Struthio camelus: one gene and its partner. The protein of the gene in region 2 interacts with the protein of the main gene of each other region in a pairwise test. Links are inferred from orthologs where the notes say so. Each region holds a gene or a part of one and is shown on either strand. Other genes may lie near its edges.

Region 1 (10,632 bases), on a different chromosome or scaffold from region 2:
CAGGCCCTATAGCACCCACCCCGGGGCAGTGTGGGGCACATAGCTGCCACCTAGAGGGGTGTGGGGCCTATAGCCTCTGCAGGGGAGCTCTAGTGCCCATGGGAGGGAGGTGTTTCTCCTATACAGCCCAGGGGGTCTCTCCCCTATAGAGCTTGGGGGGGTCCATCCCCCCTATGGGGCCCACAGGGTTCTTCCACCCATAAGGCCTGAGGGTCACAGCCCCTATGGGGTGACGTACGTTGAAGCCGCTGTTGGGGTCCCATCCGATGTGACCCACGTGCCTGGTGGGGGGTGGTGATATGAGGGGTTGCCCCATAGCAGGAGGGCTGGACCCATGGCCGAGCCCTGCCCCATATGTACCCTGCCCCTCACGTCCCCCCCAGCCCCACACGTCCCCCTGCCCCACACATCTCCCCACCCCACACATCCCCCCAGCCCCACACATCCCAGACCTACTTGAAGCCGGAGGGTGCCCCGATGTCAGCCTTGGAGATCTTCTTGCGACCCCGCTTGCGGTCAGTGGCTGTGGGGCCTGCTGTGGGGCCCGCTGTGGGGCCAGCCGTGGGGCTGGGCAGCCCCCGGTAGCGGCTCGCCGTGATGTCGGGGTTGGCAATGGGCACAGCCGGCACTGGGGGGGCTGCGGGGGCATGTGTGTGGGGCGGGGGCCGCTATGGGGCTTGGCGGCCACTATGGGGCAGGGGGACTCCCTTTGGGGCAGTAGAGACTGGCTATGGTGCAGGGGAACCCACTATGGGGCAGAGGGGACCCTGCTAGGGGGCTAGAACACTGCTATGAGGCAGGGACTGTGCTATGGGGCAGGCAAACCCACTATAGGGTAGGAGAGACCCCACTATGGGGCAGGAACCACTTGCTATGGGGCATCAAGGATCCCCTTATAGGGCAGGGACATTCCATTATGGGGCAGGGACCCCGCTGTGGGGCAGCGGAGCCCCTGCTATGGGGCAGTCACTCACCACAGCCATCCCCGGCAGATGCAGGGGGCCGGGGCAGACTCCCGCGGCGCTCTGTGATGGGGGGCAGAGGAGGTCAGCGCCCCACGGCTGCCCCACAACATCCCCCCCATGGCCACCCCACGGCTCCTCCTTCCCCGTGGCTCTTTGCCCCACGGCGCCCCCTCCACAGCCCCGCAAAGCCTCCCGGGATAGGGGGGGGAACTCACCATCAGCCGTGGGGGGTGGTGGGGGTGGGAGCTGTCGCTTCTCTGTGGAGGGAAAGGGGCTAATGTGGGGCTGCCCCATGGCGTGGCGGGCACCAGGGCAGCCCTGGTGCATAGTGGGTCACTGTAGGGCAACCACAGTGTATCGTGGGTGGCTGTGGGGCAGCCCCAGTGCACTGTGGGTTGCCATAGGGCAGCCCTAGTGTGTATTGTGGGCTGTTGGAGGTGGCCATGAGGCAGCCCTGGTGCCTCGTGGACTGCTGTGGGGCAGCCCCGGTGCAGTGTGGGTGGCCCTGGGGCTGCCACGGGGCAGCGTGGGTGGCCATGGGGCAGCCCTGGCACAGGGGGGGTGGCTGTGGGGCAGCCCCAGTGCCTCATAGGCCACTGTGGGGCAGCTCCGGTGCAGTGTGAGTGGCCCTGGGGCTGCCGTGGGGCAGCGTGAGTGGTCATGGGGAAGCTGTGGGGCACCGTGGGTGGCCATGGGGCAGGGCCGTGGGGCAGCTCACCCGCCCGCTGTTGCTGCTTCCAGACCTTCTCCTCCACCAGGGCCTGGAACGCTGCCGCCTCCCCCTCGTGGGCGAAGTTCAGCCCCGCCTGCCAGCCCTGCGCAGCCAATCACCGCCTGGCCCCGCCCCAGCCCCGCCCCAGCCCCAGCCCACCCCAGACCCTCCACCTCACCCACACTCCCTTAGCCCTGCCCCATCCATCAGCCCCATCTCAGGCCCCTTTAGCCCCACCCACTGCCTTCTAAGCCCTGCCCCCAGTCTCTTAACCCCACCCTTGGCCCCACCCACAATGCTGAAGCCCTGCCCCAGCACAGAGTCCCGCCCTCGGCCCCGCCCCCAGAGCCAGAGCCCCGCCCTCAGGCCGGATGCCCCGCCCCAACCCCCACCTCTAGCCCCACCCCAACCCCCACCTGTAGCCACACCCCAGCTTGTAGCCCCGCCCCCATCCAGTTGGCTCCACCCTACCCTGCCCCAAGCAGCCGAAGCCCCGCCCCCGCCCCTGGCCCCGCCTACTCACGTCAGCAGGGAAGGTGTGGAAGAAGGGGGTGGGGGCAGCATAGCCCATGTGGGCCCGGAGCTCCTGCTCCCAGCACAGGCACCCGCCCTGCGCGCCCAGACACCTGGGTCCCTTGGCCACCTCCACCCAGCCCGTGGGGACTCCCGTCCCCCCCCGCCCGGACGCCTGGGTCCTCATGGCTCCCCCGCCCGGACACCTGGGTCCCCATAGCTCCCCCATCTGGACGCCTGGGTCCCCGTGGCTCCTTCACCCCAACGCCTGGGTCCCCGTGGCTCCCCCATCCAGACACCTCGGTCCCCATAGCTCCCCTGCCCGGATGCCTGGGTCCCCTGGCCACCTCCCACCCAGCCCATGGGGTCTCCCGCCACCCCTGCCTGGACACCTGGGTCCCCTTGGCTCCCCCACCCCAACGCCTGGGTCCCTTGGCCATCTCCCACCCAGCCCGTGGTGGTCCATCCCCTGGGCTCCCCCGCCCAGACGCCTGGGTCCCTTGGCCACCTCTTACCCAGCCCGTGGGGGTCTCCCGCCCCCCCACCTGGATGCCAGGGCCCCCAGCTCACCCGCAGGTCGTAGAGGCGGATGAAGTAGGAGCGCCGGGGGCTGTCCTTGACCAGGCAGGCGACGCCGCAGCCCCGCTTGGTCCACGCCGCCCCCCCCGGCCCCCGCGCCTCCAGCAGCTGCACCACCGCCGTCGCCAGCGTCTGCCGCAGCCGCCCCTATAGCGCCTATAGCACCCCTGGGGGGGGGCAGGGCGCTGGGGGGGCCCTGCGGTGCTGGGGGAGGTATGGGGCTGGGGAGTCCCTGTAGGGCTGGGGGCTCATTGGGGTCTGCAGCACCTGGGGGGCCCCTATAGCACCTAGGGATCCCCTATAGCACCCAGGGGGCCCTATAGCAACTTGGGCACCCGAAGGGCTCCTATAGCACCCGGGGGGACCCCATAGCAACTTGGGCATGTATAGCACCAAGGGGCCCCTATGGCCCCTAAAGATACCCTATAGCACCTGAGAGGCTCCTATAGCACCCAGGAGCTGCTCTAAAGCATGTGTGGGGGCCCTATAGCACCTGGGGCCTCTACAGGGACTAGGTGGGTGGCTCTAGTGCCTGGGGGGAGCTCCTATAGCACTCAAGGGGGTTCCTACAGGTTCTTAGGATGTTGCAAACACCCCCTTGACCCCCTTGGGATTCCAAATCCCCCTCAGGACTGCCCAGATCCACCCAAATATCCCCCAGACCCTTTAGAGCCCCCCAGGACCCCCCAAATCCCCCCATCCCCCATATCCCTCCCAAATCCCTCCCAGGACTCCCTATATCCCCTCCAGATCCCCCCCTAGACCCCTTAGGCCCCTCCCAGGACCCCCCCAGCCCAAGGGCCCCCCATATTCCCCCTATACCCTCCCAGAGCCCTTAGGGCCCCCCCAGACCCCCAAATCCCCCCCTAAGACCCTCCAGATCCCCCCAGAACCCTTAGGGCCTTTGCAGGGACCCCCAAATCCCCCCAAGTCCCCCACAGCCCCCCCCAGGACCCCCTAGATCCCCCCCAGAGCCCTTAGGGTTCCTGCAGGGCCCCCCAAATCCCCCCCAGGACCCCCAGATCTGCCCCGGCCCCTCACCACACATTTCCGGCCCAGGAGCTCAAAGAGCCGCAGGTTTTCCTGCTGCTGCAGCAGCTCCGAGGGGACGTTGTCGGGCCCCGGTGGCCCCCCCCGGCCCCCCCGGCTCATCGCCCCAGTCACCTGGGCCCCTTCCCCACTCCCCCGCCGGCTCCGGCCCCGCTTATGGGCCCCGGATGCCTGGGCCCCCTTCCTGGAGGAGGCTGGGGGGGAAACACCTCCCCGAGCCGGATGCCTGTGTCCCCTGCAGAGGTGGGGAGCCCTCGGCCCGGACGCCTGGGTCCCGCGCGGAGGCCTCTTCCGTGTAGCGGGCCCGGAAGCGCGCGTCACCTCCGGACTGGGGGCGACTGGGGTGAACTGGGAGGGCACTGGGGTGAACTGGGAGGGACTGGGAGCAGCCAAAGGCCGCGGCCCCCCCTCCTCCCCCCTGGCTGGGGGCCCAGGCATCCGGGCGCCTTGGCTTCCCCTCCCCCCTCAGGGGAGTCCCAACTCTGTCCTAGACCGTACTGGGACCATCCCAGTCTGTAGTGGAACCCCAGGCCCTTCCCAGTCCATGCCACGACCCACCAGTACATACTGCAGGCCCAGTATAGGCTGGGACCCCCCCCCAATCCCCTTCCCAGTCCATACTGGGAGCTCTCTAGCTCCTTCCCAGTATGGATTGGGACCCCCAGACCCTTCCCAGTATGGATTTGGATCCCTCATTGTCATTCCAGTCCATTCTGGGAGCCTCCCAGCCCCTTCCCCGTCCATACTAGGAGCCCTATCCCCTCCCCAGTCCATACTGGGACTCCCCCAGCCCCTTCCCAGTACGGATTGGGATCCCCAGCTCCTTCCCAATCGATATAAGCACCTGTAATCCCTCCCCAGTATGGAATGGGACCCACCCAGCCCATCCCCAGTCCATACTGGGAGCCTCCAAACGACAAACATGGGCGTCAGGTTTATTTGCGTCTTCTGCACCTCGCAGCACCCCGGACGCCTGGGCCCCTCCCAGTAGGATGGAGGGCGGGGGGGGGGCAATAAATAAAGGGGGGACATAGGAAGGCACCGGGTGGGGAGGGCACTGGGCTGTACTGGTCCATACTGGCAGGACCCAAGGCTGTGTGGGTGAAGAGGTCCCAGTGGGGGTGCCCTACCGGTCCGTACTGGTCCATACTGGGAGACGCAAGGCCACGTGGGTGAGGAGCTCCCAGTTGAGATGCCATACTGGTCCATACTGGTCCGTACTGGGATGGCCCAAGGCCAGGTGGGTGAAGAGATTCCAGCTCTGCCGCTGTACTGGTCTGGACTGGGACGGCGCAAGGCCACGCAGGTGAGGAATCCCGATGAGGATGCTGTACTGGTCCATGCTGGTCCGAACTGGTCCAACCCAAGGCCATGGAGATGCAGGAGCTCCCAGTTGGGCCCCCAGACCTACGCTGGTTCATACTGGTCCACGCCGGGACGCTCCGAGGCGACGTAGAGAAATGGCAGGGGAGGCAGTGGGCTGTACTGGGCCGTACTGGGGCTGCTGCGATGTCCCTGGCTCCCCGTAGCAGGCGTCTACAGGTCCCCAGTAGGTGCCTACAGTCCCCATGGGGGCCTATGGGTCCCCAGGGGGGATCTATGGGTCCCTGAGGGGTGCCTACAGGTCCTTATGGTGGTCTATGGGTCCTCAGGGCATCCCCATGGGTATCTCTGGGTCCCTGAGAAGTGTCAAGGGGATCCCTATGCCAACCTATACATTCCCAGGCGTGTCTATGGGTCCCTGAGGGGTACCTAGGGGATTCCTACATTGGTCCATGGGCCTCCAAGGGGGACCTACAGATCCCCAAAGGAGAGCTATAGGTACCCATGGGTGCCTACAAGGTCCCTATGTTGGTCTACGGCTGCCAAGGGGGATCTATAGGGTCCCCAGGATTTTCTACAGGTCCCTAAGGGAGTCTATGGGTCCCCAAAAGGGATCTATGGGTCCCCATGCATGCCTTCAGAATAGCTATGTTGATCTAGGGGTCCCCAAGGAAGATCTATAGGTCCCCCCAGGCATCTATGGGGTCCATATGCTGGTCTATGGGTCTCCTCGGGGGCTCTATAGGGTCCATGGGACATCGATAGCCCCCCATGGGCGTCTCCAGGTCTCTCAGCCGGTCTCAGGGCCCACTTGGGGGCTCCATAGGGTCCCCAGGGATCTCTACACCGCTCCATAGGCATCTCTGGGGTCCCTAAGCTGCTCTGTGGGCCACCTCAGGGGCTTTATAGGGTCCCCAGAGGCATCTATACACCCCCACGGACATCTCTGCGTCCCTCAGCTGGTCTCGGGGCCCCCTTGGGGGCTCCATAGGTGCCCCCAGCTCCCCCCACACCCCTCTCGGCCAGGCGCGGCAGCAGGGGGCAGGCGTCAGGGCTCAGCAGGGTCGCTGTCACCCGCGCCGGGGCCGCCACGCCCCCCCCAGCCCTCGAGGTAGCGGGCGAAGAGGGCCTTGGCGCGGTGCAGCACCCGGGGCAGGTCGTGGCGGCGCACCAGGCGGTCAAAGTGCATGGCCACCTCATTGTAGTCGCTGGCCCGTGCCATGACGGCCTCACGCTGCTCCAGCAGCATGGCCAGGCACACAAAGAGCAGGAAGGGGTTGCCCTGGCCCAGCTCCTCCGGCGGTGGCAGCGGCGCCCCGTCGTCCTCCACACCCACCTCGTCCTCCGACGAGGAGGAGGAGGAGCAGGAGGAGGAGGAGGAAGAGGAGGAGGAGGAATCTTCCCAAGCCCACGGGCCGGCCCAGGGGTCATCATCAGCTTCACCAACCTCGGGGAGGGTGGCAGCGTCTGCTTCAGCGTCTTCGGGGACGTCAGGGTCTTGGCCAACCTTCTGGGGGCTGCGGAGCTCTTGGCCAATCTCCTTGAAGGCACCTGGGTCTTGGCCAACTTTCTTGAAGACGCTGGGTTCTTGACCAACCTCCTTGAGGATGCTGAGATCTTGGCCAACCTCCTGCGGCACGTTGAGATCTTGGCGAACTTCCTCGAACGCGTTGAGGTTTTGCCCAATCTCTTTGGTGACACCAAAGTCTTGACCAACCTCCTTATAGATGTCGGGTTCTGGGCCAACCTTGGGAACGTTGAGACCTTGGCTGAGCTTCTGGGGGACATCGCAGTCTTGTTCAGCCTCCTTGAAGATGCTGAGATCTTGGTCAACCTCCTTGGGGGTGTTGGGGTCTTGGCCAACCTCCTTGGGGATGTCAGGGTCTTCATCAGCCTTTTTGGGGACACCGGGTCCCCCTCTGGCCTCCCTGGAGGCCTTGGGATCCTCTGGGATGTCCCGGGAGACATGGAGATCCTCTGTGACACCTCGGTTGGTCTCGGGATTATCTGGGACCTCCGACTTCGCTCCACCATCCTGGGAGATCTCAGGACTACCTGGCGCACCTTGGGAAACCTTCAGATCCTCCTGGATGTTTGTGGAAACCTTAGCAGCATCTTGGACGTCACTGATCTTGGGATCTTCTTGGGCGTTTGTGGGGATATTTGGATCCTCCTGGACATCTCTGGAGACCTTTGGATCCTCTTGGAGGTTTCCGCAGCTTTTTGGAGCCTCTAGGACATCCCCGAGGCCACTCAGCCCCTCAGCGTCGTCTCCAGGCTCCTTCTCAGCTCCTCTTGCGCCCAGCGTAGCCGCCTCCTGGGCCCTGCACTGGCGCCGGTGCCGTCGGGGGGGCCGGGGCCGGAGCCCGCGGCGCTCGCGGAGCCCACAGCGAGCCCGCCGGGGGCCCAGGGGGGCACCAAGGAGCGGCACACCGTCGGCAGGGGGCGGCGGGGCAGGTGGGAGCGAGCTCCAGGTGATCTCCAGCACCCGCAGAGCGTCCTCGAAGGCGAACTCCCGCTTGAGCTCCAGTAGCAGCCAGCGGTAGCAGAAGAGGAGGTCGTGGGCGCCGCGGGCGGCCAGGAAGGCCCAGAACGGCGGGTCGGCGCGCCGCAGCAGCCGCCGCAGGTGCCCAAAAGCCCGGGCCAGGCCCCGGCCGCCAGGGCGGAAGCGGGGAGCCAGGCGGCGCATGAGGGCGCAGAAGCAGATGAAGGCCTGGGCCTCGTCATCAAGAACGGCTAACAGTGGGGCAGCCACATCTGACATACCCTGGCAGTAGGACAAGCGCGGGTGGCCCAGGGCGAAGGTGGTGAGCAAGGCCTGGAGGGCGGCCAGGTGCGGGTGCCCCTCTTCAGGCCCCCCGAAGTAGGGGTGGCCGCGGTCAGTGCGCACCACGTCCTTGCGCACAGCAGCCCCCACCAGCGCCAGCTCGCCAGGGGCCGCCTGGGCCGCCAGGCGGGCCTTGAGCGCCCCATACTCGGCTGCCTTGCGCCGCAGGTGGGCCAGGCGTTCCTGGCCCGAGAGCCCCGCCGGGAAGACATTGAGCAAGTAGCGCCACACCACCTGTGCGGGGATGAGGCCACGCCATTAGGGACCCTGGCATCCGGGCAGGAGGGGTGGGGGACGGTGGCGGGGCAAGACATACCTTGCGCAGGCCGGGCTCGACTCCCCCGTGGTAGACGTGCAGGCGGAGGTCGCGGGGCCGGGCCAGGCGCCCACCGGGGCCCAGGTAGCTGCGCAGGTCAGCATCACTCAGCGGGGCCCGCGGCGGTGGCGGAGGCGACGCCGGTGGCGGTGGGGAGCCCTCAGGCCAGGCCAGTGCCGCCTGCGCCCGCGCCAGTGTCCGGCCCACCTGTGTGGGGGGCGGCAGGTGAGCCAGGAGCACGGGGAGGCGTTGGGGGGGGACTAGGAGCACTGGGAGGTGTTGAGGGGGAACTAGGAGGAGTCTAGGAAGCATTGGAAGGTGTTGGGCAGGGAGTGGGAGCGCTGGAAAGTGTCAAGGGGCACTGGGAAGTGTCTGGGAAGGGACTGGGGGCACTGGAAGGTGTCAAAGGAGCACTGGGAGGTGTTGGAGCAGAACTGGGAACACTTGGAAACACCTGGGAGGGGACTGGGGACACTGGGAAGCATCTGGGAAGGGACTGGGGACTCTGGGAAGTGTCGAGGGGCACTAGGAGCACTAGAAGGAGGAGAGAGGGGGAGATCTGGGAGGTGTCTGGGAAGGGACTGGAGGCACTGGAGGCCATGGGGGGTGTTGGAGCAGAATTAGGAACACTGGGAGGTGTCTGGGAGAGAACTGGAGGCATTGAGAAGCGTCGGAGGGGCACTGGGAGGTGTTGGGGGGGAGCCCAGGAGCGCTGGGAGACCCTGGGGAGGGGAACTGGGAGCTCTGGGAGGGCCTGGGGAGGGGAACTGGGAGCCCTGGGAGGCCCTGCACCCACCTGTGCCAGCAGGGCCTGGGTGAAGGGCAGGGCAGCGGCCAGCAGCGAGCGGCGCTCGGGCCCGGGGGGCTCGGCCCCCGCCGCCTCCCGCGGGCTGATGATGTCCCAGTCCTCCAGCAGCGGGCCTGCGGGCCCGGACGCCTGGGTCCCTCCTGCTCCGCCACTCCTGCAACCCTGCCCCCCACGGGTCCCTGGACGCCTGGGTCCCCACCATGCCACTCGAGAGCCCCCATGACAACCCCCAGGCCGCTCGGACACCTGGGTCTCCTCTACGCTGCTCGAGAGCCCACCCTGGGCACCCAGACACCCGGGCCCCTGATGTGCCACCCCCAGGACACCTGGGTCCCCCCACCCTCTCCAAGACGCCTGGGTCCCCTTCTGGTCCTGGGATCAGGGGCTCTCCCCAGACACCTGGGTCCCCCCAGCCAGTACCCAAGGAGAAAATGCAGCTCCTCCCGGACTCTGGGGCCCCCTGACAGATGGGGCTGGGGCTCTCCCAGACACCTGGGTCCCTGGGTGATGAGGGTGGGGGCTCTCCCAGACCCCTGGGTCCCCCCACCCACTCCCTAAGGGGAAGATGTGGCTCTTCCCAGATGGCTGGGTCCCCCCACCCAGCCCTCAAAGGGGTCGCGTGGGTCCTCCCAGACACCAGGACCCTCTGGCCAGCAGGGCGGGGCTCTGCCAAATGCTGGGGCCTGCCGGCCAGGCGGCACTCACTGTCGTCGGGTGGGCGCACGTCAAGGCGCAGGCGCAGGGCAGGCTTGGCGGCTGAGGCGAAGGCAGCCGCCAGGTCGCTGTCACTGGCCAGCGGCGTGAAGCTCTCGTGGCCCCGGCGGTCGCGGGCCGCGAAGCTCACGGCGAAGCTCTTCTTCCTGTGTGCCATGAGAGGCCCAGGAGTCTGGGGGTGTGCCCTTCCCCCACCACTTACAACCCCCCTCCCTCGTGGGGCTTCCCCTCCATGCACCCCAGTGGACCCAGACATCCGGGCCAAGCACCTCCCTCCCACCCCCCTCATGGAGACCCATCCCCGACTGTGCCCAGCGGATCCAGGTGTCCAGGCCAACACCCCTCCCCCCCACGGGGACTTCCTCTGTGTACCTAGTGGACTTAAGCATCCAGGGAATCGACCCCCTCCCCCACACAAGGAAGGTGGGGGGACGGAGATGCCTGGGGGGAGGGGAGGGGCCCCGGTGCTCACCCCTGCAGGTCGAAGGCACGCGCCAGAATGTGCTGCAGCACGTCCAGCGACGTGATCTGCGGGTCCACGGCGAAGGAGCGGAACTCGGGCGGCAGCAGCCCCTCGCTCTTCTGGTGGCAGCGTCAGGGACCCAGGCGTCCGGGGCCGGGCGGGGGGGTCTCCCCCCCCCCCAGCAGACCCAGGCGTCCAGCCCTCACGCTCATCCCCCGGCGCAACGACATGGCGCCCCACCTCAGCGCGTCGCTACGGCAACAGCCTAACGGCACCCTGCCGTTTCCCACCCTCGCGCCTCATTGGGCACCGCCGCCCACGTGGCCTCCTCTCACCTCCGCACCCCCCCCCGCTTTAGCGCG
Region 2 (11,054 bases):
TGTTTGCCCTGCAAATCATCTGTTGCATCATCTATCGTCGACCAGGGCACAAAAAGAAAATCTGATTTTCAAAGATGTGAAGTTAAATGACAATAATGTGTTTTTGAAGCTGAAAAGAATACAGTACTGACAAGTGATAGTGTTTAAAATGCATCTAAGTGCATTAAGAGCAATTCCTTAACTAACTCTCCATTACCTTTGTTATCTTTACAATCACCTCTGATTACCTAACATGAAGAGAAAGGGGAAGAAAGGGCAGACTTTCCCGTATCATTTAGCCACACGAAATGAGTGCTCCCATCTAAAAGCAACAACACAAGTTCATAAATTCAGCAACCTTCCGCTCTCAGAATTTTCACAAAAGGACTGTTCATCAAACTTCCCTCAAAAGCTTAGAAATGTGGCACGACCCAACATCTAAGACCTTGCCAAGAGTTTGTGGTATTACACTGAACTGAAAACAGCCTTCAGAAGTCAAAATAAGGTAACCTGAAAACAAGTATAGCAGTGGAATACATGCAGAACAAAGCACAGGACCAGTGCTGCTGAGAGCTGATGTCATTGCAAGACTGCTCTCTATGACTTCGGAAAAGTCACGGTGATTGGGGATCCCGATGACCGGAAAAAGGCAAAGATCAAATTTTCAGGAAGGGCAAGAGGGACAACGTGGAGACACAAAAGGCTGCTAAGCCCTGGAAAGATTATGGATCAAATGCTGCTGGGAGCCATGTACAGATGCTCAAAGAACAGGAAGGTGACTGGGAAGAGCCAGCAGGCATTTACCCAGGATAAACCAGACGTGAGCCACCTGACAGCTTTCTGTGATTACGAGCTCTTTGGATGAGGGGAAAACCATGGGTGCTGACTTTAGGAAGGCTCTCAGCAAGGCCTCCCATAGTATCCATAGAGCCAAAATGATAAGATATGGCTTGAATAGCTGGACTGTAAATTAGGTGGAAAACCGGCTCAACCACTGGATTTAAAGGGCTGCAACCAGTAGTGCGAAAACCATCTAGCAGCCTCTTACTAATATTACTCCTTAGAAGTTGATACGATGGCCAATAAATACCGCGTAACGTCCAGACTGTCAGCGAAGACAAGGGGACAACGTGCACCCACAGCAAGTTTGGAGAATGTCAAACTCAGAAGAGAGGTTGACACATTGGCAGTGGGTTAAACACTGGAGCAGGCTGCACAGAGAGGCTGTGGGATCTCCACCCGCGGAGGTCTTCCAAACCTGACTCGACATGGCGTCAAGCAAGCGGATTGCCCTGCTTCGAGTGCGGCGTGAACTGGATGATCTCCAGAGGTCCCTTCCAAGCTAAATTATCCTATGACTACATTTTAGGCAAATGAAAGCAAATGGAAGCAGTTAAAAGTTATTTTTAAAACTGAGAAATTTGAGATATTTCAAGTGAAAATAGGCCAGAAATGAACATTAAAAACGAATATATCCAACTTTTGAGCCAGTTCAAAAAAATAAAACACATAAAAAACAAAGGGAAGAATTCAGGACTTCCAAAGGAAGTCAGATGGAATGTTTTTCCCCCCACCCCCAGTTATACAAACTGATTCAACTAAATCTTTTAAGGTGAGAGAGAGGCTTCACCTGTAAATAACAGGTCATCTCTCAGACCAAAGACTTCTGTCTGAATTTGCAACAGGATCTAGTGATCCAACTACCATGCTTTTCAGTAATTAATCACATGGTCCTTTCCTGATAGATACCTGTTTTCAAGGATTAGGAAGCTTTTTAACAATGCCTCGGGTAAAGCACCTACGTTAGCTTTCATTTTTCAAACCCTGTCCCATTTTCCCCCCATCAGCTCCACATAAGTAGCTGAATGAATAGTTACAACAGCATACAGATTTTAACTTTATTTCGTAGTCAGGTAGCAGCTGTCAAAGATGAAGTTAATTCACTTTTTAATATTAAAGACCACAACATAAATATTTGTGAATAAGCCTCCATAGTCTCTATCACTCTAATACCTGAAAGTCAATATATAAAGCCTCCTCAACAACACAGTTTGAAGTCATTAACAGCTCACTTCCGCCTTGATCCATCCCAGTTGGTCTGTAACAACGAGGGAAAAAAACAAACACACACAGGCCATAATTCACTGCTAGCATAACACCTCCTATGACAGGTAGCACCATACGGTGATAAGCACAAAGAACAGTAGCTACCGTGCTTTTGCCATTGTTAGCCTTATAAAACGTTCTTTATATTACAGTAGCAACTGAGAACGCAGTCAGGGATACATCCCATACCCTAGATCTTCTATAGATAGAGGGGAAAAAAAATTAACCCTTCCGAAATAGTAATTAAAAGGGAGAGCATAGTCACTTGATCTAATTTAGATATCTGAGTTAGGAGGCTAATTTGACCAAAACTGCTATATATCTGAGAGCACTGGGCAATGTAAATCCATGTTTACAGGGATCCATTTCTCTCTTAACTTCATATGGATCTTCAAGCTCTATAAGTAAGACAGTGAACCCTTCCCTCCCAACTTAAAATAAAAGGAATGGAAAAAATAAACAGGGATGGTAAAGTGGAGGGATGAGAAAGAAAATGAATAAGGTTTAATGCAAGAATGAAGCCCCAGCCAGTTACCTAGTCAATTCCTAACGCTCGTAATTTCTAAATATCACTGTCACATCAGCGGATCCAGATCTTATTACAGCTACAGTTACGTTTCAACTGAATTTCAGAAAAACGCTCATCTAAAACTCTCTAAAGCAAAATCCATTTTATGAACCACTAATGCTATACGCACCGTGGCGAAGCAGGCTATGCACACTGCTTAATAAGCTTCCTATGTTTTCCTGTGTATACACAAATGCAGGAACTGCTGCCACCCCAGGCAAGCACGAACGAAACAACTTTAAAGCGCTAGCTTCCCAAAGAGATGCGTGGGATCCAGCTGCCCGAAGGTAGGGGCGAGCGGCTTGTAACTTCTCATTCCGGTGTTTTAGATGAGGAATTTCTGACTTAGGCGTAACACGACTTACGCGAGCAAAGGTTAAAAGATTGTATGTACTACTTAAAGCACAATCGACTTTCAAGTTCGGCAACGTGACAGGTGTCAAGAGTGCCACCCGCTATGAAAATCATATTCATGTAATTAAAATACTACTTATTATAGTTACGCGTAGAGGACTTGGTTGTACTTCGCGGCTCCATTTTATTTCCTGAATTATTACGTTTCCTGGTGTAAAGTCAAGACGAAGGAAAGGCAATCCACCAACAGAACAAGTCGCGGGCTTTAACTACAGAAGCTGACCGTCACCAGCTTTTAATGCCTACAGTCTCCAGGTTTTCACAGCAACTATCAGAAAGGAAATCATGAGACTAGCGAGCCAGCTACCCCTTCAGCTGGCTTCATCAGCCTGCCCCACTTACCCAACCCCAGCCCGCTCCCTCGGGTAGGCACCAAGCTGTTTGGGTCCCGACACGGGATTTTTCTTTTTTTCGTCGCTACTAACAACACTAAGACCAGCAGAATTAACGCCAGCGCTGGGAGCTACAGTCGCTGTTTTCGGTTCTGCTCGCGTTGCCTCTTTCCCCTCCGCCCCCCGCACGTCTGCGGGGTCCCGCAGCGGCACCGGGCGGCCCGGCCCGGCCCGACAGCTCCCGCGCCGCCCCACGGCGGCCTCGCCTCACGCTCGGGCGAAAAAATTAAAAAAAAAAAAAAAATCAGCGGCGGGAGCAAAACATACGCAAAACGCTATTTTTAAATGCAAGGTTTAAAAAAAAAAAAAAAAGGTGTTTAAAGGGGAAAAATAAATTCAGCTCGGTCCAACAGACCCTTCCTCTACGCCCCCGCCGCCCTGCTCTGCCCGGACGGTTTGGTCGGGCGACGAGGCGGAGCGGCGCTGCCCGGCCCCGGCCCCGGCCCCTCCGCTCCCGCGGGCGGCCGGGCTGACAGCGCCGCGGCGGCGGCGGCGGCGGCGGGAGCGGCCGAGCCCGGCCGCCCCCCTCACGCCCGTCCTCGCCTCGCCGCGCTCCGCCGCAGCCCGCCGGCTCGGGGCCCCGCTCCCGCCGCCGCGTTACAGCCCCGGCCGCTGCTACCTGTTGCGCCGCCCGCGAGCGCCTGCTCCGCGCCGTCTTCCCTCCTCCGCCTCCTGCGGCGGCAGCGTCAGCCCCACAACATGGCGGCGGAGGCGGGGGCCGCCCGGGCAAGAAGGCGGCCGGCGGGGCGGGGGAAGGGGAGGGGGGCCGGGGCCGGCCAGGCGCGGCCCGAGGGCACCCCGGCTTGCGGGCCCTGGCCGTGGGGCGTCGCCCCCTGCCCTGCCCCCCAGCGCCGGCGGCCAGCCGTGACGGGGCTGGAGCGGTTGGTGGGCGGCGGGCGGGGGCTGGCGGGGCGCCGGCGCCTGGCTCTGAGCCGCGCGCCCTCACAGCCCCTCGGGGCTCCAGAGGCGCCGAGGGGGCAACTGCGGACGTCGCCCGGTCTGCCTTCGCAGCACAGGGGCGGCCGTGCCGCTCAGCGACTCTTGCGGGAAGCGCCTGACGGCGTTGCCGGCTGGGCAGCACCATTTTTGGCGTAGAACCAGCTGCCATTGAAAGCCTCGAGTTGAAATAAATTTACCGCGTCCTTACCGAAGTCTTTCTCGCGGTTGATTGCAACTTCTGGCACAACCGTTACCCCTTTTTCGCCGCAAATGATTTTTCCTTCGGTTTTCTAGCTGTTTCTCTTAAACATTGGTAACGATCTCTTAAAGATCGCAGTCCTATCTCAATTATTACAGCTTCTTTTTGCACACTGGGCAGTGATCTCCCTCCCCTGGAGAGCTACCGCAGGGGCCTGGGGAGCGCCGGGCGTCGCTCTCGGATGGGAAGCGTGTGCTGCCGGGCCCCGATGCCGGTGAGGATGAGGCAGGCACGAGGAACTGACCTCCGCTAGCATCAGGCACTGCTCAGCACACTGCAATATTTAGGGTTTCACGAGTTTATTTTGTCAAAAAATGAGTTAAGGAATTCTATAAAAAGGAGACTCGGGGGGAAAAAATGACTTAGCTTTTAACCATTAAAAATTGAAGTACGTTTGTTATTGGAAAACTGTTTAAGCAATATTATCATAAACTGTTTAAGCAATATATTTATCATTGATTTTTATTAATTACTTGTACTCTTATATAAACATTTCCAGAGCTTTTTCAATGACTGGATCGCGCTATATATGAAAGATTACAGTGTCTTTCTGCTCTATTTTTTTCTGTGTAGGTAATTACGTATCACCCTCAAATACAGAACAGATTTTTCTAGACTCATTTTTCTAGGTCCTTAACCTTTCCAATTTGTTACACCTTTTATAACTAATCTTGATTCCAGAATAGTCTCCTTATTGTGCTATATAATGGCCATAGCAGCGCATGCTGTTCTTCAATATTTTTGCTTAGACATCCAATGTTTGCATTTGCTGTTATAGCTGCCACATTGCATGGACAGCTTGCATTCATTTGCTTACCCTCATGACCTCCTCAGTTCTCTTCTGACTTAATGCTTTCCAAAATACAGTATCTGCCTTCCTTGCTCCCAGCCTGAAAGTATGCTCTGCATTTTGGCTCCTATACGCAGTCAGCAACCTAGTCTTTGATGCCTCAAGATATATGCCATTGAGATGGATTAAAACATATGTTGTTCAAGTGACTCTTGCTTACTATGTGATTTAAGTCATTCGGTGGTGACCAGTCTATACCGTCGTCTAGGCCTTCAGCTGTTCTGAAATGATCTGCAAATTTTATGAGCAGTGTTTTACTTTTTGCCAAACAGTTGATTGACTGAGATAATGGAGTAGCACTGGGTCAAGAACAGATTCCTTTGGAGCCCAATTTAAAAAGTCTCTCATATGACAATTTTTCATTTAAATTACTTTCTAATGTCTATTAATAAGCAGCCTTTAATCAATTTACTACATGTTATAGTGATATTGCATAGTTCTAAATGTGACTTTTTTGTGTAGGCAACACCTACAACCTGCTTTGGGTCTAAGATAAATGCTTACATTGAATATAACAGTCTCCAGATGCACAAAAACCTGTTGCAGAGAGGAAGGAGATAACTATAAACTTGATAAGCATGTTTCTTCTCATAGGAAGAAAAAGATCAGGTTAGCAATTACAATAGTTAAGTATTGGGAAGGGTGGTAGAACATCTGTCATCAAAAGTCGTTAAGAACAGGTTAGACGAAGAACTGTGAGGAATTATGTAAATTTTGTTGATCCTGCCTTGAAACAGAACATTGAACTAGATGACTTCTTACAGTTTTTTTTCCCTATAATTAATGCTACTGCCTAGTCCCGCTAAAGGGATGGATTTGGGTCGTTGTACTGTGTGACATTTGTTCCACTGGCCAAAGAGTCATGCATAAAACCAGAGGGAGGAGAGTTGGAAAGCTGTACCTTAGAGCCAGGTGCTCAGGATGTGGTAGGGTGTACTTTTTGCACGCATGATCACAAGGGAAGGTGAATGGTGTAGGGGGGGTATTTTTAATGTATGTTTAGTTGATTTTAATTTTATATACAGGTCTGCAACTACTTAAGCCTATGGACGGGCTAGAATAAGACCTATACTTGCTAATGGTACCTGCTTTTCTGCCTCTGTTACCTCTGCTGCAAATTTCAGCAGAAGCGCAAGGGAGGTATCTCAAAGCTGTTACATCTTCAGGGTTGAATTCCGCCTTACATTGGTACGCTAAGTGCAATTTTTGTAACTTAACATCTACTGGTTATGTGTTTTATGTTCTTATTGTTAAACGTCCCCCTCCCCCATACCAGGTAATGCTAAATAAAGCCAACAGAGTTTTCTCATATGTTTCTCACATTTGATAATCTGTCTATATGAAAGAAGAAGTAAAAGCCTTCTTCAGTATGGGTAATGAGATTCCTCGTACTATGTTGAAAAACATCGCAAATTGTTTCTCTACTCCTGTCTAAAACATGCTGCCATCTAAAGATAAGTTATTAAACTCAGTAAAAACCAACAATCAAACATGCTGCCTAACAATTGCTTTTAGGTGACAGACTGCACAAAGCAGGAAGTGTATAAAGGGCATCAGGATACTTGATTATGTAAACGTAACAGATAGTGGGAGGACATACCCATGTTATTACTGTTATGTAAGATGCTTATAGAAAAGTAGCAATGTAGCTCATTTTGAGATAACTGCAGATGTTGCCTAATACCTCCCATGATAGCAAATTTAAGCCGTGAAAAGCTGTAATAACATGAGCCACGTTGCCTGGGAAGGAGAAGTCAGAAAGCAAGCACAGTTCAGCTGACTCCCCAAGGAGAAAACCGTGTGTGAGGAATTAGCATGTAAAAGCTTTATGTGATCTTATTCTAGAAAAATAAGCAGAGCTAATCTGTAGTATTAGAACAGTAAATATCTGTAAGATTAATTAGCAGGAAGACAAACAGGACTCAGGCCGCTGTGAAGACACATTCGCATGCAGTCAATCATTCTTCCTTGTAGTTGGAGCATGTAGACATCCAAAGTCTAGTGTTAGCAAAATGTATCCTTTGAGTGAATCTGAACTAACTCTTAATTCCCCAAATGGAGAAGATAGTTGAGGCAAAAAAAAGTATTATGTCCACTCTGTGGTTTTTGGTGGTTTTTTTTTTTTTAATTTAGTAAGTGCATTGCCATTTCTTTAAAATGAAGAATTCTGTCCTCTGGTTTGATAGATTGAATTTGTTTTCATTCTGAGTTTGTCTAATGCTTAAAGTATGTTCAGAAGAAAAACACTCTACTTTTGTGAAGGTGGAGTTTCTAGAAGCACTGTTGTAGTCTCTGCCTTTGGGCATCTCAGAGTTTGGGGAGAGCGTTCTTTTTGCAGGCTTCAACATGCAGTGTTGGGGGCTGATGTCAAGTAGTAGGTGAAAGAAAAGCCCTTTCTGGTGGGAGTTAATACCTTTCTGGCAAGGAGTAGACAGTGACAACGCAACTTAAAACTGCTGGAATGAATTTGTTTGTGACAGAAAGCCATTAGGGTCAGGGAAATTACTTAATAATAACTGATGAGTAATAGGAAAGACAGCTGAAAGGAGAAGAAACCAGTGGTATGATAGCATAGAGACCTGTTCCACACATAGGGAACAGGTTACAGCATAGCAAATACATAGGGTTACAGCATAGCAAATACTGAGAAGAGACCATTAGATGAAACATGTAGGAGAAGCAGAAAAGGAGAAGTAGGGTTTGCTATAAGCAATACCTCGACGTTTAGTATTACTATGTTACCATTTGCTATTCTTCCCTTGTAACATCTGAGCCTAAAGCCACATACAGAAGCAAAAACCTACCACAAATTCTGAAGCTAGATAAACTACAAATACTAAAACAACTCCAATTTTTATTCTAATGCTTTACTTTCTAATCATTATCTGTATTCTATCATCAGTTCCCAGGTACAAGCAGCTTTGCAATCTGTAGAGTAATAAGGGAAGATCTCCACTGGTAGCAAAAGAGATCATGGATAAAGTTGCTCGGTCTGAACTGAGCAGTAGGCATGACTTTTTCCCTGCTTTCAGTTTACTTGAAAATATCGCTTATTTTCTCTGCTGTGCTGCTGAAAGACATACCAAAACCCAATGCTTTGTTCTTCCAGTCCGAGCCCTCTGACCAGGTAGTGCCCAAGCTTGCTGACAGATATGTCTCTTCAAGCACATGGTTAAAACATTGGAAATTAAGCAAAGAGCATAAATTTTGAACACCAGAAACCAATTACTGCCAAGAATAAGCCACATTCTGTGAATGGCGACTGATTAGGGATCAGGGAATGTTAAATAAAGTGACAACGATTTCTGAATGGTCAAAAAGCAAAAATTGCAGCACGCTGCTCTGCACAGGTTCCACTTGTGGTCTCTTGTTAAATTTTGCTTGGTAATGGGAAGCATTTCCTAAACTGGAGAGTCCAGCTTGTTGTCCCAGCTATTTAAAACATATTCACCAGCCACACCTGCCTGATGAATGACTGCTCTGGCCCCTTTATTCGAATCAATGTTACCATTCATGCTAACATTTTTTTTTTTGAGCCTCCTCCTTTTCTCCTCAGCTAATACAGAAAGCAATGAGCTGTCACTTAATGCTGCTGCGAGGCTCGTTTTTACACCAAAATGGTTTAAACACTTTCTTCCTTCTGAGCAAATGTATGATACTTTCTTTAGCCTAGGCCTTTATTTAAACCTGGAAGCATGCAACCCAATGGGATAAACAAACGGACAAGTTAATATATACTTTCTATACCTAACACAATAGGAGTGGTGTATTTCTGATGTTCATTCTGAGTAATAGTTATCAAAAAGGTATACAAGGCACAAATACATACTACGTCAAAAATAGTATTTTTAGAGATCCTCTTTTGAATTCTGAACCAGAAACCCACACAGTACTTAAAAAAACAAACGTTACAAGCTACTGTATTAGTTTGCAGGATTTTCTGCTAGTTAATCTGTATAAAATAAACAAAAAATCATGTCCCAACTCTGTTCCCCGCCAAGGACAAATACTATTTTGTAGGGGAGGGAAAGCTAGACTGCACTTGTTCAAAGAGTAGCAAAGGCTCCTTTGGCCAACCACACTGAATTTATTTTAAGATTTATAGAACATCTATATAACCATATAGAAAGTCGATTTCCAGACAGGCCAGAATGTGATGTGAAGGCAGCACTGACTCATACAGACTGAATTTTGGCAAATAAGGTTTTACCAGCTATAGCACAGGAATTCAGAAACATACAAACATACAGAAATTTTGCAATTTTGAGGTGCTAGCAGTAACACGTTAATAGGGTTAAGCAAGGTTATTTGTTGCAATTTGTAATCCTTATGCTCTAATTAATAAATAATACCTTGGCAACCCAGAGCTGCAAGTGCAGAAACAAATGCATGTGAAAAGAACTCTCATATGTTTTACCGTAATGAAGTACCCCAAGTTGCTTTTAAAAGATAAATGAGGTAAGAATCAATTTTGAAATAGCTCGCTTCAGATCTGCAACACTTTGGAAGTTGCTGTGAAAAGGAAAGTTTAGCAGATTTTCAAATTTCTGGAAAGACACAGGCATGCTATAGAGAAAGTAAGGCCTATGATACAGATACGACACAAAACCTTGTAAGAAAGTAAAGTATTCATACAATTAATAGCCCAAACCTCTGCGTTAAAGGAACATTGGAAGTTTCCAGTGAATGACTGTGACTCTTGCCTCCCAGCTGTGATGCTGACAGTTTGAGGTGCGACTGCCCCCCTCTGCTTGCCTGGTGCTGTGCTGCACTTTATTATCCATGACAGTGACAACAGTTGCAGATATGAAGTGTTTTTTGCTGATGCAGTGAACAACATCGTGCAGTAACTCCAACTAGTGGCTTAAAGCTGTTGCATGCAGATGGCTGGATCTAGTTTAGCAGCCTTCAGCCAAATTGTGTTGGTGTGTTAGGCTTAGGGATCTTCTGGACTTGAAAGTTTTTTCTAAGGAGTGATAGAATAAATCAGAATAAATCAGTTTGCAACCTACATTGACATTAAAGTTTAACAGAGTTAAAATCAGAGAGATTTATCAGCCACTAAGGCTTCACTTGAATTCTCGTGCAAGATTTGTCTTGCTTTCATGAGGCTTCTTGATTTGGTAAGGGAAACCTACACCTTCACTAATCGCCTCAGAGCTCTTCTTAAAATTAATTTAAAATTAGACTCAGATTAGATTCAGATTAGATTGCAGAGTGACTGAACAGCCCCAGCTAATACTAATGATTCTAATAATTCTGTCTAGTAATCCTCATCTGTCTCTCTATTACCTTTAACCTTCAACTCTAAACGGTTTAAGGCAAAGTTATCTTTTTGTTCTGTTATTGAGCAGTGTCAGGACACAGGCTTCTACCGCCTAATAAAGTAAATCCATTGGCACTTGGCACTGGCATTCCTTCCAAAGTGATATTATGCTGCTTTGCTGCAGTTGAATTTGCCTTCCCTCTGGAGGTTCATCTTGATTAGATGCCACTGCCTTGATTAATATCTTGGCACTTAGCAAACATTTTAACTTGAATGACAAT

What was found. The genes of interacting proteins can lie anywhere in the genome.
Region 1: the proteins of ITSN2 (region 2) and WAS interact in a two-hybrid assay, tested with the Homo sapiens proteins (2 studies listed by BioGRID). The link is inferred for Struthio camelus from reciprocal best matches to the Homo sapiens genes ITSN2 and WAS.

Annotation. Positions count from the first base shown.
Region 1 is NC_090979.1:340,306-350,937, reverse strand, and holds the start of WAS (actin nucleation-promoting factor WAS), read right to left. Parts: upstream 4,174-10,632; 5' UTR 3,922-4,173; coding exon 3,811-3,921; intron 2,902-3,810; coding exon 2,761-2,901; intron 2,288-2,760; coding exon 2,201-2,287; intron 1,781-2,200; coding exon 1,684-1,780; intron 1,223-1,683; coding exon 1,181-1,222; intron 1,026-1,180; coding exon 975-1,025; intron 638-974; coding exon 457-637; intron 282-456; coding exon 239-281; intron 1-238. Other genes in the region: TBC1D25 (TBC1 domain family member 25), read right to left, coding at 6,191-8,203, 8,286-8,492, 9,082-9,206, 9,799-9,953, 10,280-10,389. UniProt on the Homo sapiens protein: Effector protein for Rho-type GTPases that regulates actin filament reorganization via its interaction with the Arp2/3 complex. Important for efficient actin polymerization. Possible regulator of lymphocyte and platelet function.
Region 2 is NC_090944.1:15,521,507-15,532,560, reverse strand, and holds the start of ITSN2 (intersectin-2), read right to left. Parts: upstream 4,204-11,054; 5' UTR 4,079-4,203; intron 3,431-4,078; exon of another isoform or gene 3,410-3,430; intron 1-3,409.